7 linked regions of the Oryctolagus cuniculus genome follow. The protein of the gene in region 6 interacts with the protein of the main gene of each other region in a pairwise test. Links are inferred from orthologs where the notes say so. Each region holds a gene or a part of one and is shown on either strand. Other genes may lie near its edges. The genes, in order: FERD3L, TMEM174, PBXIP1, TMUB2, SPP1, SGTA and CSF1.

What was found.
Region 1: the proteins of SGTA (region 6) and FERD3L interact in binary tests that used the Homo sapiens proteins (3 or more experiments, as listed by UniProt). The two-hybrid records come from large-scale screens. The link is inferred for Oryctolagus cuniculus from reciprocal best matches to the Homo sapiens genes SGTA and FERD3L.
Region 2: the proteins of SGTA (region 6) and TMEM174 interact in binary tests that used the Homo sapiens proteins (3 or more experiments, as listed by UniProt). The two-hybrid records come from large-scale screens. The link is inferred for Oryctolagus cuniculus from reciprocal best matches to the Homo sapiens genes SGTA and TMEM174.
Region 3: the proteins of SGTA (region 6) and PBXIP1 interact in binary tests that used the Homo sapiens proteins (3 or more experiments, as listed by UniProt). The two-hybrid records come from large-scale screens. The link is inferred for Oryctolagus cuniculus from reciprocal best matches to the Homo sapiens genes SGTA and PBXIP1.
Region 4: the proteins of SGTA (region 6) and TMUB2 interact in binary tests that used the Homo sapiens proteins (3 or more experiments, as listed by UniProt). The two-hybrid records come from large-scale screens. The link is inferred for Oryctolagus cuniculus from reciprocal best matches to the Homo sapiens genes SGTA and TMUB2.
Region 5: the proteins of SGTA (region 6) and SPP1 interact in binary tests that used the Homo sapiens proteins (3 or more experiments, as listed by UniProt). The link is inferred for Oryctolagus cuniculus from reciprocal best matches to the Homo sapiens genes SGTA and SPP1.
Region 7: the proteins of SGTA (region 6) and CSF1 interact in binary tests that used the Homo sapiens proteins (3 or more experiments, as listed by UniProt). The two-hybrid records come from large-scale screens. The link is inferred for Oryctolagus cuniculus from reciprocal best matches to the Homo sapiens genes SGTA and CSF1.

Annotation. Positions count from the first base shown.
Region 1 is NC_091447.1:11,278,299-11,282,063, reverse strand, and holds FERD3L (fer3-like protein), read left to right. Parts: upstream 1-1,380; 5' UTR 1,381-1,907; coding exon 1,908-2,441; 3' UTR 2,442-3,265; downstream 3,266-3,765. UniProt on the Homo sapiens protein: Transcription factor that binds to the E-box and functions as inhibitor of transcription. DNA binding requires dimerization with an E protein. Inhibits transcription activation by ASCL1/MASH1 by sequestering E proteins.
Region 2 is NC_091445.1:37,817,312-37,820,982, reverse strand, and holds TMEM174 (transmembrane protein 174), read left to right. Parts: upstream 1-1,333; 5' UTR 1,334-1,432; coding exon 1,433-2,058; intron 2,059-2,234; coding exon 2,235-2,340; 3' UTR 2,341-3,171; downstream 3,172-3,671. UniProt on the Homo sapiens protein: Regulator of plasma phosphate homeostasis. Decreases serum inorganic phosphate (Pi) uptake by regulating the sodium-phosphate cotransporter SLC34A1 trafficking by PTH and FGF23 in the kidney.
Region 3 is NC_091438.1:43,546,239-43,550,527, forward strand, and holds the start of PBXIP1 (pre-B-cell leukemia transcription factor-interacting protein 1), read left to right. Parts: upstream 1-1,489; 5' UTR 1,490-1,947; coding exon 1,948-2,050; intron 2,051-2,469; coding exon 2,470-2,519; intron 2,520-3,104; coding exon 3,105-3,209; intron 3,210-4,289. UniProt on the Homo sapiens protein: Regulator of pre-B-cell leukemia transcription factors (BPXs) function. Inhibits the binding of PBX1-HOX complex to DNA and blocks the transcriptional activity of E2A-PBX1.
Region 4 is NC_091448.1:19,069,291-19,073,269, reverse strand, and holds the start of TMUB2 (transmembrane and ubiquitin-like domain-containing protein 2), read left to right. Parts: upstream 1-1,179; 5' UTR 1,180-1,348; exon of another isoform or gene 1,349-1,376; intron 1,377-1,466; exon of another isoform or gene 1,467-1,929; intron 1,930-3,254; 5' UTR 3,255-3,279; coding exon 3,280-3,821; intron 3,822-3,979.
Region 5 is NC_091439.1:77,729,253-77,733,292, forward strand, and holds the start of SPP1 (osteopontin), read right to left. Parts: upstream 2,801-4,040; 5' UTR 2,656-2,800; intron 1,623-2,655; 5' UTR 1,609-1,622; coding exon 1,555-1,608; intron 1,445-1,554; coding exon 1,406-1,444; intron 1-1,405. UniProt on the Homo sapiens protein: Major non-collagenous bone protein that binds tightly to hydroxyapatite. Appears to form an integral part of the mineralized matrix. Probably important to cell-matrix interaction.
Region 6 is NC_091447.1:59,203,368-59,206,867, forward strand, and holds part of SGTA (small glutamine-rich tetratricopeptide repeat-containing protein alpha), read right to left. Parts: intron 1,384-3,500; 5' UTR 1,351-1,383; coding exon 1,251-1,350; intron 679-1,250; coding exon 572-678; intron 1-571. UniProt on the Homo sapiens protein: Co-chaperone that binds misfolded and hydrophobic patches-containing client proteins in the cytosol. Mediates their targeting to the endoplasmic reticulum but also regulates their sorting to the proteasome when targeting fails.
Region 7 is NC_091438.1:60,416,248-60,419,747, forward strand, and holds part of CSF1 (macrophage colony-stimulating factor 1), read right to left. Parts: intron 2,626-3,500; coding exon 1,643-2,625; intron 1,124-1,642; coding exon 1,071-1,123; intron 768-1,070; coding exon 722-767; 3' UTR 706-721; intron 1-705. UniProt on the Homo sapiens protein: Cytokine that plays an essential role in the regulation of survival, proliferation and differentiation of hematopoietic precursor cells, especially mononuclear phagocytes, such as macrophages and monocytes.

The sequences.
Region 1 (3,765 bases), about 48 Mb from region 6:
TGGGATATAAACACGAGCAGGAGGAGAGAAAAATCTATGAAGATCAAGGAGAACCCGGCCAGAAATGGGTTAAAAAATAATTATGTGAGAGCATACTGCTTTGAATATACCCAGAGACACAAGGGAGAAGGACAGGAATGGGGCTTACCTGTTATAAATAAGCAGTTTCTGGGAGCTGTCCAATGTACTGAGTGAACCCTCAGGGCCAAAACTCACCTCCTCATGGGGAGCAACGTCCCTGGTGTTTCTCCCTTGAACCAGGATGTGTCTAAACTCACCTCCTAGGACGCTTTCTTCTAAGCCACATTTACAGTTGCTTTCTAACATCTCACTTCACCTCACCAGGAATTTGAAAAATCCTCTGCCGTGAGTACCAAACCATAGCTATTGGCAAAGAAGGAAAAAGGAACACATCTTTGTTAAAATATTAGGAATCGGGCCCCTATTGGGACACCTCATCCTCACATCAAAGTGCCTGAGTCCGAGTTCCACCTCCTGTGGGAAGCAGCAGGTGATGGTTCCAGTAGTTGGATCCTTGTCATCCTTGTCTCTCATGTGGGAGACATGGATTGACTTCTTGGTTCCCAGGGAGTGAAGCAGTGAATGGGATCTCTCTCTCTTTCTCTCTCTCTCTCTCTCTCTAGCTCTAGCTCTCTCTATCTCTATCGCTCTATCTCTCTCTATATCTCTTGATCTATCTATCTATCTCCCACCTCTGTCCCTCTCAATTAAATACATAAATATTTTAAGTTGATATAAAATCAGTAAAATGTCCTTTTCATGACATAAACTTTTTAATCTCAAAAATTATCTAACAATACCAAAAATATCACCCCGCAGGAGAATTCAACAAGGTATGGTTCCTGCTCTAAAGTTCTGTAGAGGAACTTCTTGTAGGAATATACAAGCCAATGAGGAAAAGAAGGCAGATGGAAGTCTCCGGATTTGCCTTTGTGCAAACACTCAATCAGCAACTTAAAAGTGCAGAGACTGGCTTATCAAGGATCATGTGTGAAAGGAGACTGGAGAAATTCTCCTTGGGGAAAGGGCTTGCTTTTGTCCTACACGCCGGCCGTTCTACAGCAAAATCCCTCACGGAGCAACCGCTGGGATCTTCCATTTCTCACGTTAGTGCCCAACCTCACTTTTCCCCTGGGAATAAAAATCCTCCACTTTACGGGAGCAGGAGATAAGGGAAAGGAAAGTCAAGTATCTCCATTGTCGGGCTGGGGGCGTCCAAACATCGGTGACCGGGCAGGAGGGGGAAAGGACCCGGGTTCCAGGAGCGACCCCGGGGAATGCGCTCCTGCCCCCTGCCATGCTTACTTAAGCTAATGTAAGGGCTTGCCTTTCAGCCGCGGCGGCGCTGGGATACGGGACAAACAGCTCCCCGGGAGCCCCCGGCGGCCTGGGCCCCTCTTCAGGACATCATTAAAAGCGCATGCCATTTGCTTCCCCTCCCCTGGTAGACGGTGGCAAGGTTCGGGTCTCCAGCCCTGAAGTCTAGGAGAAGCCACTGCGGTGGAAAACATCCTCGCTTTGAAAACCCAGCCTGGAATTAAAGACCCGCACGAGGTGAGGAGTCTGGGGCGCATTTATCGGCTGTGGGGGGCGAGGACAGTTACAAAAGGCTCAGCAGGTAGAGAAAGAACTGTCCCGATTGGCGCCGCGCACAGGAGCCCAGCACCGGGGGGGGCCTGCGCCCTTGTGGTCGTCCACGTGTCCTCCAGCCTGTCTCCCTCCATCAGCTCCGAGGACAGCGACGTGGCCAGAGCCGGCCCCGTGAGCGCGACTAATCCTGTTCCCAAGCTTGCCTACAAAGAGGAACAGGCCCCCCGGGCCTTGGGCAAGGATGCCGGGCCCGACCCAAGGCCGTTAGGCAAGCCCCCTCCGCAGCCTCAAACTCCATGAGCCGCAGGGCCGCGTCCCAGCGATGGCGGGAGAGCTGTGTGGACGCCGCCGTGCTGGACTTCGTCGCGGACCTGTCCCTGGTCTCCCCGAGACGTCCTGTCCTCGGCGACCTCCCGCCGGAGGCGCCCCTCGGGGACCGAGGCCTTGCGCTCCGACAGGGAAGACCCAGAGGGCTGGCGCGGTTTGAAGAGGGGGATGCAGAAGAAGGGGACGAGGAGGAGGAGGAGGAAGAGGAAGAGGAGGAGGAGGAGGAAGAGGAAGAAGAAGAAGAGGGGCGCGGGAGAGGCGCCTCGCTGCTGGGCCGCCCCAGGAGGAAACGGGTGATCACCTACGCCCAGCGCCAGGCCGCCAACATCCGCGAGAGGAAGCGCATGTTCAACCTCAACGAGGCCTTCGACCAGCTGCGCAGGAAGGTGCCCACCTTTGCCTACGAGAAGAGGCTGTCCCGCATCGAGACCCTGCGCCTAGCCATCGTCTACATCTCCTTCATGACCGAGCTCTTGGCGAGCTGTGACAAGCAAACCGGCTGAGGCGGCCCGGGACTGGGGCTGGGGCTGCGGTGCCGGCCGGGTCCCCGCCAGGGCGCGCGCGGCTGGGGTGCGCCAGGGCCGGCCCCCGAGGGGTGCTTTGGAAAGGGGAGCAGGGCGGCCGCGAGGCTGGACGCGTGGCCCTCTCGGCCACGTGAGCTCCTTGTCAATCGCCCTGTGTTCTCGGCAAGAGAGCGGCTGTGGAGCTGATGCCCGCGCGGTCCCTCTCCGTGTGCCGGGCAGAGGCGAGAGCGGGGAGCGGTCTTGGCTCATCCGGTCCGCAGACTGCGGGGACTGGGCGCTGCTGTCGGGATCCCCTCTCTCCGCGTTGTCTTTTTAACGGTATTAGAAGTAGCAAACCAGAGAGAGTCTTGGCTTTGTTTTAAGCCTCAAGAATGGACGTTGTGCCCTCCCCACCCGCGCGCTCCTAGGAAAGGCTTGTAGCAGAGACCCGCGACCCCGTGCGGGATTTCCGGAGAGGCCAAGCGGCTCCAGCCCTCCTGCCCAGGGCTCCCAGGCCAGACCAGGGACTAAGAGGAGATGCAGAAAAAATGGGGAGAGTCCGAGGGGACTTGGTAACCAGAATGCCACGTCCGGGAAGGGACATCATCTCTCCAGTACTAGCTCGCTGGCTCTCTCTCCTGTCTCTCTCTTCTTCCCTCCTGGTCTCCCTCTCCCTTTCCATCTCCTCCTGCCCCCCCCCACTCTCTCCCTCCCCCCACACCACTGTGTCAGATTTCCAGAGCGGGAACCCAGGGCGGGCGCCCACTGAGATGGCCCCATTGGCACCGCCGCGCCCAGCAAGGCGGGAGCGCCCACTGTCCAGGGCCTTGCCTGAGTGGGACTTGCTCGCTGCGGGCCTGCCACGCCTCAGGCCGCCGAGGGCAGCTAGAGGCGCGCTGCGTGCCCCCGGGCCTGCGGGGAACTTCGGGCTTCGCCCGCCCGCGGCCACGCAGCACCTGGCCCCGGTTTCCCTGCGCGGCGGGGCCTGAGCACGTACCGGCCCGCCGTTTGCCGTAGGTGGGGACGGTAGCGTGGGCCCTCACGGCCTCTGAGGATTTCCACGGAAGGCGGAAGTCCGAGGCGGAGACGCACTCTGACGGCTTGCGGGACCCCAGCGCCCGCCGGGAAGTTCGAGCGGGTGGGTGCAGGTTGGACCTGGTGCGGCTCCACGAGCACCTGAAATGGGGTCTTTCAGAAAGCCGTGGTGGCAACCACAGGAGTGGGTGAAGCCCACCTAACCACAAATGCGGGAATCCGGAAAAAAAAAAAATCCGCAGGGCTTGCTCCGACGTGCGGGGGCCGGGCACCCGCTCTGCCGCGCACA
Region 2 (3,671 bases), on a different chromosome or scaffold from region 6:
CATCCTCCACTGCACTCCCTGGCCACAGCAGAGAGCTGGCCTGGAAGAGGGACAACCGGGACAGAATCCGGCGCCCCAACCGGGACTAGAACCTGGTGTGCGGGCGCTGCTAGGCGGAGGATTAGCCTAGTGAGCCGCGGCGCCGGCCTCCAGGTGATATTTATCATCAAGGGACACTTAAGAAGCCCTGCCTTGGGGCAAGAGTGCAGCTTTCTCAACTCTGCTGAAAGAAGCTGAGAGATGTCTGTGTGGACAGACAAGGAAAGGGAGCGGGCTACAGTCACCACCAGGGAGAGGAGGAAACACAGGCTCTTTGGAACTTTTGGCGTTCAACATTGTGCATTGTCATGGATCAAGCTACTTCTCTAAATCAGCTTGGGTTTGGTTGCAAAATGCAGCAGGCTCAAAGTCACAGCTGTTGGATTTGCTGCCTAAGTGGCCACCCTGACGGGAGCGTCTGCAGCACCTGTCCCTGCCACGTCACGTCCCTCCTGCTGCCGACTCAGTCTCTGCCAGGGATGTGCAGCATGGACAGGTTTCCAATGGCATCCTTCCTTTCCCAGGGCTGAAATGACTCCCCAAGTTCAGAAAAAAAAAGGCAGGTCAAGAAGGAGCAGGACCCCAGAACTGTGTGAGCATAGTTGCTAACGTTGAAGTATTGCTGCGGTTTGAGTGTGTTCCCCTAAAGGTCAAGTCCTGAACACTGTATCCCCCGATTCGTATGTTGGAGGTCATTAGGGTCAGATGAGGTCAAGAGGCAGGGCCCTGATGACCTTAGCGGCTGTCCAAGAAGAGGAAGAGACCTGAGCTGGCCCACTCAGCCTGTCTCCCCATGGCATGATCTCTGCCGCGGGGTACTGGAGTTCTCAGCCTCCAGATCGGTGAATTTATCTGCCCTAGAAATCATACAGTTAGCGGTCTTCTGTCCAGCACTGGAAACAGACGAAGACAAGTGTCATTGTCACCATCATCCTAGCTGCCTCAGGAACCCACACGCGGTCCGAGCCCACACGGCTGTCCGTCCCGACTCCTCCTGGGCTGACCAGCAGGACAAACAGAACGTGGCCGAGTTAGCTCAGGCACTCCCACAGGCCTGGTTCCGGTAGTACGGAGCCAGCGGGAGCAGTGTTTACAAGGTTGTTGGCAGGGCACCTGACCATGCATTTTTTAAAATGAGTGAGCGAATGAAGTGAATCGGAGACGTGGCTTGTCCCTGACCTGCCCATCACAGCCCTCTGCTTGTGGGCAATTTATGAGGAAACTTCAGGCTCCACTTCCCAGACCTTTATCCTTCCAAACGAAGTCCAGCCCTGGGCATGTTATACTCTGTTAACCACCACAGCCCAAAGTTCTTCCAGCCTCAGTCTGAACCTGGGACTCGCGGGCTCTCACGGCCCCGTCCCCCTAAGGAGCGGCCCTTGAGCGCAGAGTCATGGAGCCGGGTGGCGGGCGCCTGGAGGACTTCCCTCTCAACGTGTTTGCCGTCACCCCTTACACCCCCAGTACTGCCGACATCCAGGTGTCCGACGACGACAAGGCGGGGGCCACCTTGCTCTTCTCGGGCATCTTCCTGGGACTGGTGGGCATCACGTTCACCATCATGGGTTGGATCAAATACCAAGGCGTCTCGCATTTTGAATGGACCCAGCTCCTGGGGCCCATCCTGCTGTCAGTCGGGGTCACGTTCATCCTGATCGCTGTGTGCAAGTTCAAGATGCTCTCCTGCCAGCTGTGCAAAGAAAACGAGGAAAGGGCCCTGGACTCGGAGCAGACTCCAGGAGGACAATCGTTCGTCTTCACCGGCATCAACCAACCCATCACCTTCCACGGGGCCACCGTGGTGCAGTACATCCCTCCTCCTTACGCACCTCAGGAGCCCCTGGGGATGACCGCCCCGTACCTGCAGCCCGGAGCGAGCCCCTGTGGTCTCCTACCCACTGCGGGGGTAGTGGCTGCGGCGCCGAGTCCTCCCCAGTACTATAGCATCTACCCACAAGGCAATGCCGCGTTTGTGGGTGATGAAGACTGGCCGTGTGTCGTGGATGGTAGCAGTGACAGGTACAGCGTGTGGGCTGGGGATGTTCCCCTTTGCAGCTGGTGGTGACCTCTGGCTGCGTTGCTCTCGGATTGAGAGGGCTTGTGGTTGACTCTGCAGCCTGATGCCCAGGAGGGTGGCTTTGTGTTGGGCATAGGTTCGGGCTGTGATGCATCTATGCTTCCTGTTCCTGTTTCAGGTCCAGCTGTGACGCTCCGCGGCCAGAGGAGTCCCAGCTGCCCGAGGGGGACTGTGCCCGCTTCTCTCCCCCGCCCTACGAGGAGATATACTCCCTCCCACGCTAGAGACGGCTGTGCATGGGGACCGGGGTCGCACGTGGGTCCTTGCTACCTGGCAGCTGCAATGTTCTATGCAGCCTTCAGAAGTCAGATGGCAGAGCGGCCTGACAGAGGTCACAGGGCAGTAAAAATTAGGCTGGGCTGGGGAAATCCCCTTGGGTAAAAGAATCGCCCATGGAAGGCTCAGGAGCAGCTGTTCCACCTGCTTGTCCATCACCCAGTCTCTTCCCTATTTGAAGACCTCTGGGTATCCATGTAAGCTTCGACGGCCAAGGGAGAAATCGCAACCTCTGAGATCTGGGGAGTTTCCACAGCTGGGAAGGGGGAGGGGTGACAGGAGGACAGCTCAGGTTTCTGGTGCCCTTCACTGGTCCCAAGGCGGACTTGGTGGCCCAAATGACACTGCTGCCACCTGGTCTCTCCTGGAGACCCTGGGCATCTTAAAGGTTGCAAAATAAGTAAATACAACGGAATAAAATAAAATACCGTCTTCTGTAAGACAAGTATTGGACGGCTGGCTAAATCATATGAAAGGAATAATAGTAGGATATGATGGGAATAAATCCTGAAGGTGTCACTGCTCCCAGTGACTCCTGGCTGCTGCTGTTCTCTTTGGTGGAGTTGAACCTTGAAGCGTGATGTGCATGAGGGGCTCTTAGCCCACTCTGGTCAGGGGCGGGGCCGGGCATGAGCTCACCACGCCCAGGGCAGCACAGAACACATGCACCTGTCTAGGCACTCGGAGATCTCAACCGCTGGAAAATCATGAATTGTGGAAGCAACCTTTGTGGCTAAGGTCAAGCTTACTTTCTTAATAAAAAAAAATACTTGGATGTTCTTCAGCTCCTTGACTGTGAATTATGTACAGAGCAAGTAGGGGCAGGCGTTTGACCCAGCGGGCCCAGATGCCCGTGGGGAGGCTTGCATCCCATAGCAGAGTGCCCGGGTCACCGTGCCAGCTCTGTCTTGATTCCAGCTTCCCTGCCAGTGGGCACCCTGGGAGGCAGCAGGTGATGGCTCAAGTGCTTGGGTCCCTGCCACCCTCATGGGAGACCCAGACTGAGTTCTCAGGCCTCGGCTCTGGGGAGTGAACCAGCTCATAGGAGATCTCTATGTCTGTCACTCTCTTTGTCTCAGAAATAAATTTTAAAAAAGAGACAGTTTAAAACTATAGATTTTAAAAGATAATGTTTTCCTAGACATGGAAGTAAGGGACTCCAGGTAGGGGTGAATCATCCCAAAAGAAGACCCAGGATTTAGCAATTCTTCAAAGTTTTGGTACCATGTTTGTGGGCACGATGGTTTTTACTTTTATCGTATCTGTTTTCCAAGGGTTG
Region 3 (4,289 bases), on a different chromosome or scaffold from region 6:
CCTGATGCCCCCTTCCCCAGGAAGGTGGGCACTCGAGATGGAAACGTCCCCTGGTGATAGGCCCAGTGGAGCAGTCACCCTTCTGGGGAAAGGGGAACAAATCACACCTCGGGTCTACCCCTGGGCTTCAGGGAGTCACAGACCACTCTCAGCCTTCCCCCCAGCGTTTAACTTTGTGCCTTTGACCATCTCCTAGGTCTGACGATATTTAATGCAAAGAAGTTTTCGGGCCCCTGAGTTAAGGACAGGGGTGCTGACGCCGTCTTGGCTCCCAGGACCCTGTCCTCCTTGCTCAGCAGCCTCTCCAGTTTGGGTTGGGAGAACAGAAGCAGTAGTGGCAGCTGTCCCCTCTCCCTGGGGAGGTGCAACCCTTAGAGATTGCCCCAGAGCCCCCCTCCCGGCCAGGGGGGAGATGGACCCCCTCCCTTGCTCAGTGCCTCCTGGCCGGGACCCCTCTCCCCAAGGGGTCTGTATATACATTTCATACGCCCCGCCCCTCCCATGTTGCATGCATGTTATACTCTACAGCCAAAGTGTAGCTCTTCCTCCTGTATCCCGGCTCTGCCTCTCCCTTCCCAGGGTGTGAACTGGAGCCTCCTGTACAGTTCACTCTCCCAGGAGGGTTCTGTGGAGGCGGGAACAAGGGCACTGAGACTCGAAAGCATTAGACAATCCCAAATACCATCTGTCGATTTGGAACCGCGCTCATTTTTACTTTGTATGCACATATTTTATGGCTGTAGGTTTACTTTCCTAATTTTGTTCTCCATGGCTTGTTCTTGAACACAAAATGATGATGATCAACTACATCCACACATCACCTCTTTGACTTTTCCAAGCCCTCTCACCACTATTGGCATTTTCCTCACCGGGCCTGCAAAGGAACTCGGACTGGCAGCATTATTATTATTTTTACAAAAGAGACCAGAGGCAGAAACGGATTTTGAGCCAGGACTAGAACTTGGACCTCTTACCGCAGGCTGGGAGGCAGGCGTTTGGCTGGCTGTGTCGATTTCACGAAGGGGGAACTTAAAGCCCACAGGTCCCCCAGTACCTTCTACACGCGGGGCCCTGTGCTAGGCCCACTGCAGCCACAACCACAGAAGAGGCCAGTCCTGCTCTTTAGGCCTGTGGGGAAGGGAAAGCTGACAATTTTAATCCTAGCCACCACCTCCTTTCGTGTGTTTGGATGTTTTCACGGGTCTCACTTATACCAAAGGGAAATAATCTTCATTAAAATCCGTATTTCTTCTACTTCGCCTTCTTAGCCACTCTTGCAAGCCCATTGTTCGCGCGGAGCCTCCGCGGCAGGAGGGGAGGCTCCAGGTCGCCGCTGGCCCCACCTGGCCTCACTTGGGGCCCGGCGCCGCCCGCTGGGCCCTGGGCGCCGGCCGACTTAGTGCCCGGTGGGCGTGGAGACCGATTGTCCCCGGGGGATGCGGCTGCGGAGGGGCCTGGTGCAGGCGGGGCGGGGCGGGGCAGGGTCCGAGGCCAGCCGGCGGCTGCCGGTGCCTCCTGGGCACGCGCCCCTCGGCCCGCAATGGTACGGTCCGGTCGCAGGGGCTGGCGGGCGGCGTCCCGCGGTGAGCTGGGGCCGGCCGCTCCCTAGAGGGCGACGGCTGTCTCCACTAGGGCCGCCCCGTGGTCCTCTCTCCCCTCTTCCTGCGTTTTGAGGCGCCGAGTCTCCCAGTCCTTGCTTCCCCTCCCCGCCGCGCTCGGTGGTGGCGGCCGAGCGGAGTTCCGGTTCCGGTCGCTGCTGCTGCCGCGGGCGGGCGGCGAGTCTGGAGCGGGCTCGCAGTTCGTGCTCCAGCTCGGCGCCTCCCCCTCGCCGCACCTTGGGGCTGCAGCAGCTCGGGGGCCTGTGCTGCCCCGACTCCCCTTCCGGGGGATGGTGCAGCCTGAGGGCGCCTCCATCCCCCGCCGCCGCTGATCCCCGGCCCCCACTCCATGGCCGCCTCGGCGCCGCCCCCACCGGACAAGCTGGAGGGAGGTGGCGGCCCCGCACCGCCCCCTGCGCCGCCCAGCACCGGGAGGAAGCAGGGCAAGGCCGGTGAGAGTGCTGAGACGGGGCGGGGGCTGGAGAGACCTGGGACTTGGGAACCTTGGAGGGGAGGGTGGGGTTGGTCCCAAAGGCTGAGAGCGGGGAGGGCTTGAAGGGACGCTCAGGTGAAAAGGATGGGTCGGTGTAGCGCTCCGGGGTTGGGGGCAGGTGTGACAGATTGAGGACTTTCAAGGGTGTGGAGCCACGTGGAATCCAGTCAGGTGGAGTCTGATAGTGTCAACAGATAGGGTGTCTGCTTTCGAGAAAGGCATAGCTGACAGTAGGGCCCCACTCAGGACACGTTTTTCATATGACACTCCTTTGTTAGTATTCGCGAAATAAATGTGTGTTGAAGTTGACCGAGTTCTTGGAGCAGGGCTGGGAGGAGGAGGTTGGAGAAACTCGTCTGCCTTTTGCTGCTCTTCCAGGTCTGCAAATGAAGAGCCCAGAAAAGAAACGCAGGAAGTCCAATACTCAGGTGAATGTTGGCTGGTGGTGGGCGTGATTGCCAGGAGCCCCTGGCGCTGTCCGCTCTGTATTGCGTCAGGTGCAGGGAGAAGGAAGGCGGTGGGTTCTGTTTCTGGTCCTCGCCCTCAACTTCCTAACAAACGTAGGGGATAATCCTTCCCCACGAGAGCCCCTTACCCAAGAGCTGGTCGGGCAGGGTTGCAGCCTTCTTTTTCCCCCATTTTTCCTGTCCTGGCTCCTTCAAGACAGCGTAGCAGGTAACCACCTAGCGAACCTTTTCTAAGTGCCAGACGTTGTGCCGAGGGGCCTGAATGGTTTGGGGGAGCTGGGCACTGTCCTTGTATCACGGAGAGCTTTGGGGTCAGAGCTGGGACTTCAGCGTGGTCCTCCCTGTTTTTCAAAGGCGTTCCTGACTGCGCTGTTCTGCCCTGCTCCCTCTGTTTCTATGTTGCATTCTGAGGTCCGTCTTGGTCTTGGCACTGGCTGGCCGGTGTCTGCCTCCAGAACGCTGCGGCGTCTGTGGTGTTCTGCCCACGTGTGTTTGGCTCCGTGTCAGGCCCCTGTGACCCTCTTTCCCTCATCTGTTCCTCCCTAGGGCCCTGCATACTCACATCTGACGGAGTTTGCGCCACCCCCAACTCCCATGGTGGATCACCTGGTTGCATCCAACCCTTTTGAGGATGACTTCGGGGCCCCTAAGGTGGGGGCCACAGCCCCTCCGTTCCTTGGCAGTCCTGTGCCCTTTGGAGGCTTCCGCGTACAGGGGGCCATGGCGGGCCAGGTACCCCCAGGCTACGGCACTGGAGGTGGAGGGGGTCCCCAGCCACTTCGGCGACAGCCTCCCCCTTTCCCTCCCAACCCTATGGGCCCTGCTTTCAACATGCCCCCCCAGGGCCCTGGTTACCCACCACCAGGCAACATGAACTTTCCCAGCCAACCCTTCAGCCAGCCTCTGGGTCAAAACTTCAGCCCTCCTGGTGGGCAGATGATGCCAGGCCCCGTGGGGGGATTTGGCCCCATGATCTCGCCCACCATGGGACAGCCTCCCAGAGGGGAGCTGGGTCCTCCTTCCCTCCCGCAACGCTTTGCCCAGCCAGGGGCGCCTTTTGGCCCTTCTCCGCTCCAGAGACCAGGTCAGGGACTCCCTAGCCTGCCCCCCAACACAAGTCCCTTCCCTGGCCCGGACCCTGGTTTTCCTGGATCTGGTGGTGAGGACGGGGGGAAGCCCTTGAATCCACCTGCTCCCACTGCTTTTCCCCAGGAGCCCCACTCGGGCTCCCCTGCTGCTGCTGTCAACGGGAATCAGCCCAGCTTCCCACCAAACAGCAGCGGCCGGGGTGGGGGTACTCCAGATGCTAACAGCCTGGCACCCCCTGGCAAGGCAGGTGGGGGCTCAGGGCCCCAGCCTGCCCCAGGCCTGGTATACCCGTGTGGTGCCTGTCGGAGCGAGGTGAACGACGACCAAGATGCCATTCTGTGTGAGGCGTCCTGCCAGAAGTGGTTCCACCGCGAGTGCACGGGCATGACTGAGAGCGCCTACGGGCTGCTGACCACTGAGGCCTCTGCCGTCTGGGCCTGCGATCTCTGCCTCAAGACCAAGGAGATCCAGTCTGTCTACATCCGCGAGGGCATGGGGCAGCTGGTGGCTGCTAACGATGGGTGACTGCCCGGTGGTCTGGGGAAGTGCACACGTCCCTCCCTGCTCTTCCAGGGTGATTGTTTCGTGTCTGGCTCTTGGTCCTTGTTTCCGCTGGTTTCCCATCCCCGTGGAGCAGAAGCA
Region 4 (3,979 bases), on a different chromosome or scaffold from region 6:
ATCAGAAGTAGAACAACTGAGAAACCAACAGGTACCCATTCGGATGCTGGCATCGCAGGTGGCAGCTTTACCTGCTATGTCAACACTGTATCCCTTCTCCTTTTGTTTTAAATATTTATTTTATCATTTTTTGAAAGGCAGAGCTAGGGAGACATCAAAAGATACATTTCATCTGCTGGTTCACTCCTCAAACAGACACAATGGCCAGGGCTGGCCCAGGCTGAAGCCAGGAGCCTGGAGCTTCTTCCGGGTCTCCCACGTGGGTGCAGGGGCCCAGGCACGTGGGCCGTCCTCCACTGCTTTCCCAGGCCATAGCGGAGAGCTGGATGGGACGTGGAGCAGCGGATGTTGGTGTCCCACTTGGTGGTTTAGCCCGCTGCGCCACGACCGGCCCCGGATTCCTTTTATATAAAGTGCAAAATCAGGAAAACTAACCTATGACGGACTTCAGTGGCTAGACGAGGTCTGAAGGGAGCTGGTTCTGGGGTCATTTCCTTTGCTGCTTCTGCAGGCTCGTTCTGGCCGAGAGTTCAGCCGGTGCAAACCACCGAGCCCTGCACTTAGGATTGCCCCGGCTGCATTATTTATACTTTAATCAACAGCTCATTAAAAACACAAACCCTTAGGTAAGTGCTGGGGAGCTGAGCTTTTTCTCCCGTCTCTCTGGCTCCTTTTCTCGTGCCCCGAGGCTGCGATGAATCCCTGCCTCTCTGAAACGCTTTCCCGCCGTATTTACCCAGGCTCCACGCCACCTGGAGCTGCCATCTTCGCGCACTGCCTAACCTGGCCCCTCCATCTGCCCTACCAGCCCAGAGCCGAGGAGGTCCTCACTGATTCCGGGGACTTGGAGCTCAGTCCGCGGCCCAGGGCGGTAAAGAATCCCTTCAGCCTGGGAGCCAGGGAGCAAGGCCTGAAGAAACAGGCCGCAGAGTGGGCGGCCTCTTTCAGGCTCCGGCCGGGGGAGCCAGCCTGGGCAAAGTTCCACGGCCACGAAGCCACGCCCCGCCCCGAGCACCTCCCCCCGGCCCCGCCTCTCACCCCGGTCGGCCTGAGGCCCCGCCCACCAGGCGTGGCCTTGAGCCCGGAGGGCCGCGATCCCGCCAACAATGACTCCGCCCCTTCTTCCGCTGAGAATCCTGTCCCTTTTATTTAAAGAATACGTTTACGTCAGCTCGCCTTACGTAGACGTGCGTCATCAGTGCAAGGCGCGGAGGCGGGACTTCCTATCTGTGGTTCTAACAGCTTCCGGGAGAAGCCGGAAGAGACTGGACTGTGGACCGAGTCGAGGATTGCCAGCCCCTCCCCCGGTCCCTACGGAAAGACGAGGCCAGGGGCCGTCCTGGAGAAGGTAAAACTATTTAGTCTGGACTTTTCAGGTGAGGACCTCCTTCCCCATCCGAGCACAGTACCAGTCCAAGCCCCCTTTAATTTTCCCATGACTCCTCGCGCCCTCAAGCCCCACCCCCGGTCCAGCAGCCCCGCCCCGAAGTTTGAGGGGTGTGGATGGTTTGTGACCCCCTCACCTGATCCTGCCCCTCGGGGCCTAGGAGAGCTGGGCTTGGGCGCCGTGACCGGAACCCGGCAGCCCCCGCGCCAGCGTTGCGGGAGCAGGACCGCCCAGACGCGGAGCCTGCGGCTCGGACAGACGGGGAGGCGGACCCTCCTCACTCAGCGCGCCGACGGGCTGAGAGGGCGAAGGCCCGGGGGGCGGGCGGGCTGGGGTCCCGGTGTCCAACCAGCCGTTTCGGTCGCTTCGCCGCCACCCTTTTCTGTAAAGCGCGGCTCATGCCATTACCGCGCCTGCCGTGAGGGCTTGGTCGGGGCAGTGGTAACCTGATGGCTGCCACTTGAACGGCTGCAATGTGCCGGGCAGCGCGCTAGGTAGTTTGCTTGGGTGATTTCACGTCATCTTCCAAACGACCGGCCGAGGTAGGTGCTATTTTTAACCCCGTTTTACCGAGGCTCTGAGAAAGTTGTCCGCCGCCAGGAAGAGGCAGGCGGGCGGGCGTTGTGATGGGTTGCTCTGTGTTTGCTTTCTCCCCGGCCGCAGGGGCAGGGCCGGCGTGGCGGGTGAGGCCGAGGTTGGTAGGTTCCCCAGGCGCGCAGTCCTCCTTGTCTCCTGGATCGGGTAGAGAGCCGGACAGCTAGAGCCGTGTGAGGAAGTTGCGCAGGTGCGGTGAGGACAGCCCGATGCTGGTGACCGCCGGCCTGGACTTGCCCAGGGGCGGCTGTGAGCGCAGCAGGTTCTCGGAGGAAGCGCGCAGGGTCAACGCCGCGGCCCAGGGAGAGCTGAGAGGGCCTGGGAGAGCCGGCGTGGAATCCTTCCCGAGGCGGTTCACCTGGGGAGTGCGTGTGGTGCTTGTGAGCCCCTGGTGGCCCCTCCGGTGGCCTCTGGGGAGGTGTGACTGCTTCGATGAGAGGTTCATTTTCCTTAGGTCTTGACAGCCGGGCCTGGATCTGCGACCGTGAGGGAGAAGGGGCTCAGATCTGCAAGGCTGGCCGCACAGGGCCTCCGAAGAGGCCTTAAGATAAAACTTTTCGGATTTCTTGGTTTCTCTACAGCTGCCTTGGAGGTTGCTTAGGGGACATACTTGCTTGACCGAGTGTTGGAAAGTCTAAGAACTGCGCTCAAAGAAGCGAATGTTTCTCCCCATTCACTAAAAAGTAGCAGCCGTGCAGGCGGGTGCTGTGGAGCCTGGGTATGCGGCCGCCAGTCGGACATCGCCGTCCTGTGTCGGAGCACGGGTCTGTGTCCCGGCTGCTCCGCTTCTGCTGCAGCTCCCTGCTAAGGGACCTGGGAAGCAGCGGAGGATGGCCCAGGACTTGAGTTCCGTATGGGAAACCTGGATGGAGTTCAGGCTCCTGGCTTTGGCCTGGCCCAGCCCCTGGCAGCTGCGGCCACGTGGGAAGTGACCCTGCAGATGGAGGACCTCTCTGCACTCTGCCTTTGAAATAAATGTTTCAGAACAGCAAACAGTGGCAGCAACGACACGCAGAGGAGGTCTTGCCGGGGATCTGCTGGTGGGGAGGTTGGAATGTGGGAGGAAGGGTGTGCAACCTGAGAGTTTCACAATCGTGGCAAAGGGTAAGGCCTTGGCTTTCAGTTTGGGGTCCAGAGTTAGGAAGCTTTGTGCCTCCCTTCTCCACTGAACTCCATTTGCAGTCAGGGCTGGGTCAGTGAAAGCCCAGACAAGCTAGAAACCTGGTCACAGCTCCTCGGGCTCCACTGATGCCGCCCCTCTTTGTTCTTGCAGCCCGGACCCCGTCGGCAGCCGGACCATGGAGCTCTCTGATGTCACCCTCATTGAGGGTGTGGGCAATGAGGTGATGGTGGTGGCCGGTGTGGTGGTGCTGATTCTCGCTTTGGTCCTAGCCTGGCTCTCTACCTATGTAGCAGACAGTGGCAGCAGCCAGCTCCTGGGCACTATCGTGTCAGCAGGCGATACATCTGTCCTCCACCTGGGGCACGTGGACCACCTGGTAGCAGGCCAAGGAGCCCCAGAGCCCAGCGAACTCCCCCCTCCATCAGAGGGTAATGATGAGAAGGCTGAAGAGGCCGGCGAAGGTGGGGGACACGCCACAGGGGAGTCGGGGGCTGGAGGCGGTGCCGAGCCCAGCCTGGAGCATCTCTTGGACATCCAAGGCCTGCCCAAGAGACAAGCAGGCAGAGAGGGCAGCGGGCCTGAGGCCCCCCTGCGCTCCGAGGCTAGCACCTGCATCCCTGCCAGCCCCGGCCTCATCCATGTGCGGCTCAAATTCCTCAATGACACCGAGGAGCTGGCTGTGGCCAGGCCCGAGGACACTGTGGGTGCTCTGAAGAGGTGAGTGGGCTGGAAAGCGGGAGGCTCCCAGCCCTTGGTGGGGGACGGTGGGGAGCAGCAGGGAGGCGTGAGGCACAGCCCCTACCAAGGGTGGGGGGCATGCTTCCTTCAGTTCCCTGGCCGCCCTCCCACCCCTCACCTTTGTCTTTCCTTCCGTG
Region 5 (4,040 bases), on a different chromosome or scaffold from region 6:
CGCCGCAGGGCGGAGTATTAGCCTAGTGAGCTGCAGTGCCGGCCAGGGAATGGAACCCAATTCAGCTCTCTCAAGAGTGGCAGGGATCCAATCCCTTGAGCCATCATTGCCACCTACCAGGGTCTGTATAAGCCGTTAAGTTGGAATCAGAAGCTGGGATGGGGCATTAAACTCAGGCACTCTGAGATGGAACATGGAGTCTTTACCCAGCATCTTAACCACCAGGCCAATGCGGTGCCATAGTCACATTCTGAGTGCTCAGTAGCCATGTGTGTCCAGTGGCTGTCTTATCAGACAGTACAAAATATATCAACATTGTTGCACAAGAATTCTATTTTTCTAAGCCGCCAGAGACTTATTTGTCTAGAAAATAACTATAATATGCTAGGGGAGAGAGAGCAAGAGAGAGAATTTCTCCTAGCAATGGTACATGACTTTAGTGACATAATGTCATGGCCTATGTGCCTTTCATCAATGTACCCTTGCCAGATTTTATTCTGTTTTAAAAGGCACCAGTTCTTTCCTTGAATAGTATGGCTTGTACCTTCTTTGGAGATGTTAGCTTTTCTACTTTGTTATTGTGATTCTATCTGTGTTCGCAAATCAACAGACACATGTACACACATGCACAGCCACACACACACACACACACACACACACACAGAGCACCTCTCTTCATGTCTTCATTAAGCAGTCTAATGGCCGTGACCCTAGGCAACTCTGCATTGGCCTCTATTCTATTCATCTGGAATTGAACTCTGTGTGCCTTTTTGTCCAAGCTTCTCAGAACAAGGCCCATTTGTTGTGTGGCTGGCACAGCTTCATCTATTGTGGAGGGGCAGGTACCTCTAGGGTGTTGGTCAAATCATTATAATAGTTTGGTTTGGTCTTATGCTTGGTTTGAAAAATGTGATCTAAAGTCAGCTGACGAGCACAATAGATACAAACAGCACAAGTAGACCTTCTTTGCACAATGGGCGTCCTACAAATTTCTTAGGCGATATTGTGGTCAGACAACAGTCCTGAGCCATAGCCAAGGTGAATTTCAAACATAGCTTTCCCCTAAGTAAAGCAAAGGATGGAATTTTCTGCTTCTAGAAAAGCAGGTTGACTCATGGAAAGAAAGTCACACCACTTCATGGAATTCACTTCACATGTGATTATGACCCAGATAATTATTTTATCATGTTAAAACAAGCCCAGCTTGCTTTTAAGAACACGCATTTATCAAAAACTATACTGTGCTTAGGTTGGGTCTAGATTCATAACAGAGGTCAATTAGCAGGGTTGTAAATGAATGGGCTTGACCATGAAGGTAAGTCAAATTGCAACAAAGATGTTTGGCTACTCCTGGCAATGAATACATGACCAATCTCACTAGATGACAGACTTCAAAGGTGCTTACCTGCTTTTCCTCGGAGCTGCCCGAATCAGCGTGTTTAACCTTTCAAACAGAAAAGAGGAAGCAACGTTACTGCGGGATTGTGTTCTAGCACAAGAAGGCACCCAGTTCACTTATTCCTGTGAATTTCCTGTAAGAGTAGCAGCACTCACCGGGAGGGCGTAGGCCATGCCCAAGAGACAAAAGCAAATCACAGCGATTCTCATGGTGGTGATTGTTCCTGCAAAATATTTTGTAAGAACAGCTTCATAGGTTAAAATGTAAAAATCTGCCACATTACAAAATAATCAACAATCACAAGTAAAACATTCTGTTGAATGTATTCTACTTGTTGGACTAACTCGTCTGTTTGTAACATGGTCTTTGGAATTCATGTTTGTCACTTCCATTTTCCACTTCACTGTTAGACAAGTGAGAGGGGAATTTTACAAGTCTCCATTTTATTCAGTTTTTAATTTAGAGTTCCAGAGATTATATCACCCCTACTCGATATCTAAACCTAAAAGCATTATCAACAGAAATTTAATTAAAATAATAAGCACGCATGGGAGTACCTAATATTCAGAGAAGAAAAACACAAAGGGCAAAAAAAAAATGAAAGAAATTTGCTGTCCCCATTTCTCCAGCATGCATTTAAAACACATTCTTACACCCAAATTATTAAGAAGCTGCTGCTTAGTTGAATTATAGCTATCTTTCAAGTTAGTTATTTAGGTAAGGTAGTCTAGAAGTTTGAAATGAAGAAGAAAATAGTGAAAGCATACAGGTTTTAAAAAATTTCTTGTTGACATTTTTAACAGCTAAACACAGAAGTAAAATATGCAGAAAGGATTTTTTCCTTGAAAATGAGATAGACCAAATCATTTAAAAATAGCATTATCAGTGGTTTACAATAGCACAAAAGATTATTCTTTATTTAATGCCTCCACAGTCATCCAGCCATTTAAAAGACACACACTCATTCCAAGGGGGCATAGAATTTTACTTTTTTCTGACTGGAAGCAGTTGCTTCAGGTCTTTGGAGAATTCAATAGGTATGTTTCTAAGTTTTGCATTTGGCTTTCAAAATATCTGAGCACTTTGGTTCCAGACTTGTAACATATCTGATCTGCTTATTCAACAACAACACAAAAACTGCAGTCTAACTGTTACAGCATCACAGCTTAAACTATTTTCCTTACAACTTGAACTTGCCCATGAAATTCAACTGAAAGTATGGACAGCAACACAGTCGGAGCAGGCTGCAGGCTTACCTTGGTCGGCGTGTGGCTGAGAAGGCTGCAACTGGCCCGAGATGAGTCCAGTCCCAGAGGATGCTGCGCTCTCTGCCTCCTCCTGCTGCTGACAGCCGGAGCCTCTCGGGATTTAAATGCTGCTCCAACATCCTCCAGCAACACAGGGAGGCGGAGAGATGTGTCATGAGGTTGTTTGCCACAGCCCAGCCCACCTGCTCCCACACTTCCCCTTCTGGTTTTGTGGTTAGAAACAAAAAACAAAAGAAACCAAAATTGACACACACACACACACACACACACACACGCACTTATGCACAATGTTAACTGGCTTTGCCATTTACTGGAATGGCATTCGGACTCCTGGAAGAGCACTTAGGGGTCTCCTAAAAGAAAGGGAAAGTAACTAGTTCTTACAGAGATTTTATTTATAATTTCTGAGTTAGGCGAAAAAATACGCATGTAAATCAGCCTGGAATGAAATGAAATAGAAAGGGCTTTTGTTTCCCCAAGTAATAGATGAAGGTGATATCCGCAACCACAGTTGCCGTTCTGTTTCCTGAAGAACTTGAAGGCCACTGTCGAGGCCCAGCGAGAGGAAGCGTCCCTCTGTCCCTTTCTACTCAAGCTCCGTTTTGTGACTTCAAGTCAGCAGCAGCTTGTCATTTAGATGAACGATCTTAGTGACACTGAGGTCCCTATTCATGCTCGTTCCGTTGGAAGACTTGCAGTGACCTTTCAATGACATGGATTTTTGTTGCACGGTCTGAATTGTTCAGAGGTGATGAATCTGGTAAATACGTATAAAAACCGCATCAACTAAGAGAGTGAGCGGCGATTTACGGTGGATGCTGCAGCAGTCAGGGCCGTGTCTGACCGAGAGCAGGATGACCGCCTGAGAGGGCTGCTTCAGGAGCCGCGCTGCGGCCTTGAACCCTGCTCCGTCTAGAGTTGCTGGCCTGACCTTGGACACATCACTAGGCTATCTATACCTGTATTCCTCATCTGTGAAATGCAGACCCTGTTAACCCAGCTCCTGGAACTTTTGAGAGGTTTACATGAGTCAGTATATGTACAAATAACAATGTTGGGTATGCATTAGAGGCAAACGCCCTAGTGTGTTTTTCAATTGAAAAATACAGATTTTTTATTTATCAGAGAGAGAGAGAGAGAGAGAGAGAGAGAGATCCCATTTGCTGCTTTACTCTACAAATGCCTGCAATGACCAAGACTGGGCTGAGGCTGAAGCCAGGAGCCAGGACAACAATCCAAGTTTCCCACGTGGGTGGCAGGAGCCCAGTTGCTGGAGCCCTCTCTGCTGCCTCTCGGGGTCTGCACTGATGGGAAGCTGGCATCAGGAGCCAGAGCTGGTGCTCCAGTGTCGGATGTGAGCTTGACAGCTAGAC
Region 6 (3,500 bases):
GCCCACGGCGCCCCCTGCTGCCCGGCAGAGGTCAGGGCGCACACCCTCCCCGCCCAGGGAGAGCCCACGGCGCCCCCTGCTGCCCGGCAGAGGTCAGGGCGCACACCCTCCCCGCCCAGGGAGAGCCCACGGCGCCCCCTGCTGCCCGGCAGAGGTCAGGGCGCACACCCTCCCCGCCCAGGGAGAGCCCACGGCGCCCCCTGCTGCCCGGCAGAGGTCAGGGCGCACACCCTCCCCGCCCAGGGAGAGCCACGGCGCCCCCTGCTGCCCGGCTGAGGTCAGGGCGCACACCCTCCCCGCCCAGGGAGAGCCCACGGCGCCCCCTGCTGCCCGGACCAGGTCAGGGCGCACACCCTCCCCGCCCAGGGAGAGCCACAGCGCCCCCTGCTGCCCGGCTGAGGTCAGGGCGCACACCCTCCCCGCCCAGGGAGAGCCCACGGCGCCCCCTGCTGCCCGGACCAGGTCAGGGCGCACACCCTCCCCCGCCCCTCTCCTGCCCAGGGAGAGCCCACCGCGCCCCCTGCCGCTGTTCTGAGGCTGGGGAATGGGGGCCGGGTGGCCCCGGGCTCACCTTGCCGGTGGCGGCCGCTTCAAAGATTTCCGGCAGGGTCTGGGGCAGCGCCAGGTCGCTGTCGTCCACCGTGACCCCGAAAGCCGTCTCCAGGCACTGGATGGCGACTGTGGGGACAGAGGCCTCGCTGACCGCATGCCTGGGCGGGGCCTGCTTTGCTGCCGCGGCTTTGGCTTTTTTTCACAAAGGACGGGTGGGGGTCCCCCAGCTCCCATCAACCCCAGGCGGGACACGGGCCCAGGGCACCGAGGGCGGTGGGCACAGCAAGGACACAGTGGTGACTTGGGGCTCCCGGTGTGGGGGCTCGGCCCTGCCGCACACGGCGGGGGGGGGGGGGTGCTGGATCCAGCTCAGGACGGGTCCGCGCCAGAACCCCCACCCGGCCCGCCCAGCGCACTCGGCAGTCAGGGGCATCCCGCGGGCACTGTCCGCCCCGGCCTCCTCCACGAGGGGCCTGGCGGGGGGCCACTTCCGTCCCACTGCTGTGCCCACACCGCGCTGCCCAGCGGGCAGACAGCCCCAGGGCCGGCCATGCAAACCCCACGGAGAGCGCCTCTGGTGCCGGCGGGAGCAGCCGGCCCCGGCTGGAGGGGCCGGGGGCGTGGGTGCCCCTGCAGGGGGCACGGGCGTCCGCGTGGGTGAGCGCCGGGGCGGGGCGGGGCGGGAGGGCGGCGGGCACCTTCCAAGCTCTCCTGGGCGTCGGACGAGAGCCCGCCGTGCCGCAGCTGCTCGTGCAGGAACTGGATGATGGCGTAGGCCAGGCGCTTCTTGGTGTCCATCTCGAGACGGGGACGCCGGACGGCTTCCAGCGTCTGCGGGTCCGAGCGCAGGGCGTGAGTCCGGGGCCCAGCTGCCGGGCAGCCGCTCAGAGCGCTGCGGCCAATCCCGCCCCCGCGGGGAGGGGCCAGTGCGGGGATCCGCCCACTTCCCAGCCGAGGCCAGGGGAGCCCCGGGCGTCCGGAGCGCGAGGCGGCGGGAGGGGCAGGGAGCGCCCGGGCCGGGGACCTGGTCCTACGCCCCGGCGGCCGCCCCAGCCCCCAGTTCCCGCGTCCCCCCCTCACCCAGCACCTGGGGGCGGTGCCCCACCCCCCCTCCTGGGGAGCCCGTGGGCTTCAGCCCCGTCTGCGGCCACCGGTGCCACACGCGCTTCTGCAGGGGAGAGGCGAGCGAGGGAGCAGCCCGCAGGGGGGGCGTCCAGGCCCACTCTGCCCCCCCCCGAGCCTCCATCGACCCCTGGACACCGTCCGGGAGCCGCTGGACGCTGTGCCAGCCCACACAGCGAGGTGCGGCCCGGGCCGAGCTCTCAGACAGGAGCCGACGCACTCCCCGAGTGACGGGTGCAGCGCAGAACGGGGCGTCCACGGGACACGGGGCCGGCCGGCAGCCGTGTCCCGCCTCTCCTGTCCTCCCGCCAGCTCCCCGCGGCTGGGCTGGCGGCCACCTTCCCAGAGGCCACTCCCTGGCCCTTGCCCACAGGGCTGGGTGACCTTTCTCGCTATGACCGTGCCCTGGGGGCCCAGGCTGAGGGGGGAGTGGGAGAGGCGCGGTGCTGGGCACACGGGTGGGGCCGAGTGAGTCCCGGCCTCTGCTGTCCGGCCACCGACAGATGAAAGTGACGCAGGAGGACACCCCGGCCGGCACCCAGGAGGGCCGGAGTCCCCGAGCCAGGACGCGGCCTCGGGAGGGGTGCCGGACGCTCACAGGCCCCTCCCCGAGTGCCGGGTGCCGTCAGGGGCTGCCTGGGCTGGGTCGCCAGGGCGGGCCCCGTAAGACCCGAAGCTTTGCACGCGGGACAGACAGGGAGCTGGGGGGACTGGTCCAGCGCTAAGGAGCGCCGAGGACGCCAGCCGCCACGGCAGCTGGGGCAGGCCGGGGACGCGGCCGCCCTCGGCCTAGGACCTGGGCAGCGGCTGCCCCATCCCCCGACCACTGAAGCCGCGGCGTGCAGGGGGCTGTGCCACAGCGGCTACGGGCGCCGTGCACCTGTGCAGGGTGGTGGCGCAGCCTGTGGCGGGGGACACAGCAGCAGGTCCCGCGTGGTCGCTGGGCTGGTCGGGAGTGGCTCTCGCTTCTCCCAGGGAACGCGCGCTCGCCCAGGCGGCCCGAGAGGTACGGCCGGACACAGGGCTGCGTGCTGTGGGCGTCCACGGGCGGAGGCGGCCGCAGGCGGGAAGGGGCGTGGCGACGGCAGGGGAGCGGAGGGCAGGAGGCCACGTCCCACTGTGTCCTGGGAAATCGAATTCCCTCCCCGCCACCCGGGGGTGGGAGCTTGGGGGAGGCTGGGGGCTTCCGCCCCATCTCGGCACAGTCGGGGGCCGGGCCCCTGAGCAGTTGGCCGGCGCCCCGCAGACAAACGAGGACCTCGATGGACGCTGTGGGGCCCACCTCAGCGCTCCGGACACAGGGGCCAGCACCATCCGGGGGTGTGCGCCTGCGCGGGGGGCTGCTTCCTGCCCCTCACCTGAGCCATGGGGGGGCCAGCACCATCGGGGGGTGTGCGCCTGCGCGGGGGGCTGCTCCCTGCCTCTCACCTGAGCCATGGGGGGGCCAGCACCATCCGGGGGGTGTGCGCCTGCGCGGGGGGCTGCTCCCTGCCCCTCACCTGAGCCATGAGGGGGTCCCGGGGGTCAGAAAACCAAGAGGCCGCCTCCCCCCTCGGGTGAGCCTCCGCGCCTCTGCGCTCGCCACCCCCTGCCGGAACACCGCCCACCCCCACCGCGCCCCAGGCCTCTCCTGCCCCCACCTTGGAGAGACGGGCCCTGGTCGCTGGCTGCCCCCTGCCCGCGCCCCGGGGGCCCCGGTCCCCCTCGCCGTCCCTGGCCTTGCGAGGCGTGGGCGGTCCGGCGGCCTGGCCTTTCTGGAATGGGGGCGGGGCCCCTGCCCTGCACGAGGCTGAGCGGCGCCCCCAGCTCGCCCCATGAGACCCCTG
Region 7 (3,500 bases), on a different chromosome or scaffold from region 6:
GAGCATGGGATGAGTGCGGGCTGGAGAAACCTGTTCTGCCCTGTGGGAGGAAAGCCTTTTTCCCAGCATCGTCTAAAGGTGCATGGGCTGTGGTTAGCAGGGGGCTTGCTTGGGAGTGGGAATACGTGGCAGGAAGCTGGCTGACTCCTGGTCAGGAATGCAGAGAGGGCTGGCCCCTTTGGAGTGGGTTGCTGGACCAAACGACCTCTGAGAGTCCATCTAACACTCAAGTTCTGTGGCACCATGATTCTAAGAGCAGGGAGCTGAGAATGGCTGAGGTGGGGGGTGGGGTGACTGAGGGAACCATCTGCCAAGAAGTGCACTCCGAGGGCAGCTACTGGACAGGCCAGGAAGTCCAGTTGGAAGTGGCTGGCCATGCAGGGCTGCTAAGAATTCCCAGGAGGCTGAAGGCCTTCATAAAAGCTGCGACTAGAGGAAAAGGATTTTGGTTGCTCTGGGAATGAAGGTGGCTGTCAGACCAGACTCCCAGTGCAGAGGTAGCAAGACCCAGCCTGCGTGGGTCTTGGGGGGAGATTGGAGAACTCAGAAAGGAGAGGCTTGGCTGGAACCAGGAATGGGTGGGCAAGGGGAGAGGCAAGCATCTGGGCCTCCGGGAAGTTGGTGGTGTCACCAACAGGTGAGAGCGACTGGAAGAGGGTGGAGCTCATTTTAAGGGGTGGAAAGAGATGAAGATCAGAATCTTACCTTTACAAAACTCCCTCTACACTGGCAAGTCCACCTGTCTGTCCTCATTCTGGGTCAGGAGGCTGCAGGCAGAGCACAGGGACGGCGTAAGACTTCAGTAGGAGCAGGGGAGTGAGGGGACCCCTAAGCCCGCTCCCCGCCAAACATACACACATACTCTAGCCCTCTCAGGCTTAGAGGATCCACAGCTGCCTAACTCCAGGAAGAGCTGGGGAGAAGCCCCGATGTCTAGAAAAGAGAGGATGCCTTTCCTCCTCTCCACCCTGCTGCCTGCAGCCCCACGTCCTCAGAGCAAGTGGGAGACACCCCCCACCCCGCCTTCCTCCAGAGGGGCGGAGGATCCCAGGCCAGCCCCCAGTTCTCACCTGCCCTCTGGCGGCGCCATGGGAGAATCCGTGGCTGGACTCTCTTGATGGCTCTGGGGACAGGAGACAGCAGGCTGAGTTGCTGGGAGGGGGAGGGACTGGCGCTCCAGCCCAGGCAGTGCTGCCCCGTGTGTTTAGGAGAGAGCTGCCAGCATCCCGCCACCGCCTCCACCCCCCTCCCTGGCCCCCGCTCCCCAGCAGTCAGCTGGGATCAGCTGGAGGGTGAGGCAGTTCCTAGGGCCTCTCTGCTGATGTTCCCGCTTGCTTCTCCCATGCAGGCTGTGTCCTCTCACTCCAGCTCTGCCAAGCTCCCTCACTCTTCTCCTTTACCCCTCTCCCCCAACTGCAATCTGCCTGTCACCCCACTGCGGGCCCAACAGCCTTCTCTCCCACTCCCTTCTACCCCAGCCCCTGCCCGCTGACCTTACGGCCTAGGCCTTCCTGATTCTGAAAGCAACTTCCACTGCAACCTGCCATCCTCTGCACCCAGTGAGCCCTGCATCTCAGCCCTCAGAACCCGGGCCCAACCGAAGCTGCCCTGCCAGAGGCCCCCTCCCTCCTGGGGCTCTTACCCGCCGCCTCCGCCTGTAGAACAGGAGACCCCCAACGGCCAACAAGACCAGGATGATGCTGGGCACCAGCAGGCGGAAGGCAAAGCCGGGCAGCAGGGGGTCAGAGGGTCCTGTGTGCTGCCTCTCATGGCCTGTGTCAGTCAAAGGAAGGGAATTAAAAGGAGCTAGGGCCTGGGCAGCCCCCTCGCTTGCACGCTCTGCACCATCCAGCTCTCTCAGGCTCCTCCGGTCCCTGGTGCTCCTTCTGCCCTCCAGCTCCCTGCGGAGTGCTAAGCCAGCCCATGGGTGGCTCCTGGGAAGCCTTGGCTGAGTGGCGGGCACGGTGAACTGGCTGGGGCCCTGGAGGCGTCGCAGCAAGGCCCCGAGAGAGCCTGGCTTCTGGTGGTTTGGAGGCAGGGCAGGTGGCCTGTGGGTCTTCTCAGGGCTGTGGCTCCAAACCAGGCCCTGGGGCCTCACTGAGCCCACCCTGGGTGGGGCGGTGCCGGTCGCAGCCTCTGCTGGCGCAGCAAGTGCTGAAGACGCTGTCAGGAGGTTGCTGGGTCTGGCGCCCTCGGCCTGGACGCTGTCCCCTTCCGGCCCAGGGACAGGGCCCTCGCCAGTGTTTCCAGAGGCCTCTTCCAGGGCCCAGAGAGTGTCCATGGCAGGGTCCAGAATGGCCTCCACCCCAGGTGTGGGGGCCCCGACGGCAGGGCGAGGCTGCAAGGAGCGGCCTGGGGGGCTGTCCTCCACGCCGGTGGTCTCTGGCGACTCAAGGCTCTGGCAGGTGCTCCTGGGTGGTCGCTGCTTGGCGCTGCCTGGGTCCACTGTGCCAGGGGCCTGCTCACCGGGCAAGAGGGGGTTGCCCTGTGTCCCCTCAGCGTCGGCCCAGGCCAAGCCAGCCATGGGGGCTGTAGAGGGGTCAAGGGGCTGGCGAGGGGAGGCCAGGTCACTGTTAGGGGTGGCTTTGGGGTACAGGCAGTTGCAATCAGGCTTGGTCACCACATCTGAAAGAACCACAGAGACAGGGAGAAAGACGGGGAGGAGATAGAGTCACCAGCCTCCAGCTCAGCTTTCCCAGAGGGGGCGGAGAGGGCCACATGGGATCGGGGTTCCCTCACCTCCTACCTCAGCCTGGGGGCTGAGGAGAGGACAGGACTGCAGCAGGTGCCCATGACATGGGGCTCAGGCAGGGAAGGTGCAATGTGCAGGGTCTCACCGGGGAAAGCAGAGAGCAGGGTTTAAAGACACAGCCCAGGGTTGGGGTGAGAAAGAACAGAGACAGTTGGCCCTGGGGTGCCTGCTGGCCAGAGGCCAAGCCAGGGTGAGCAGCAGCCAGGACAGGAGATTAAGACATCCTCAAGCCCCAAAGACACTGATTCATGCACAGCCTGAAGCCACACAGTACAACCACAGGCGGGGATGGTCTGGGCCTGGAATTGGCCAAGGCTTGTGGCCTTGGCATTGAAGCAGGGAGACTGGACTTGGCTGTTGATAGATGGCAGGGCCTCAGCCCCTGCCTTGGGGAGCAAGGTTGAATGTAGGATGCAGAGACGAGGACACGCAGGGCACACATGTATGCAGCTGAGCCAGCACTGAGAAGGTTTGACTGATGTTCAGACTTCAAATCCAGTCTTGGCCATTGAAGGGACACCCAAGGCATCCTGGGGACTTCTGGAACCAGGGCATGCTGGCGATTCATAGCACACTCCTGGAGCAGAGGCCCTGACTCCTAGGTGGGTGTCTGCTCTCTCCTCGGAGCCCCCACATGGCCAGCCAGTCTTCCATGCTAAGAGGATTCCTGAGAGGGTCCCTTTCCCACTCTTTAATCCCACAGCCGCCAGCATGAGCCTTCTTGGTGCCCCCACATGCAGACATATGG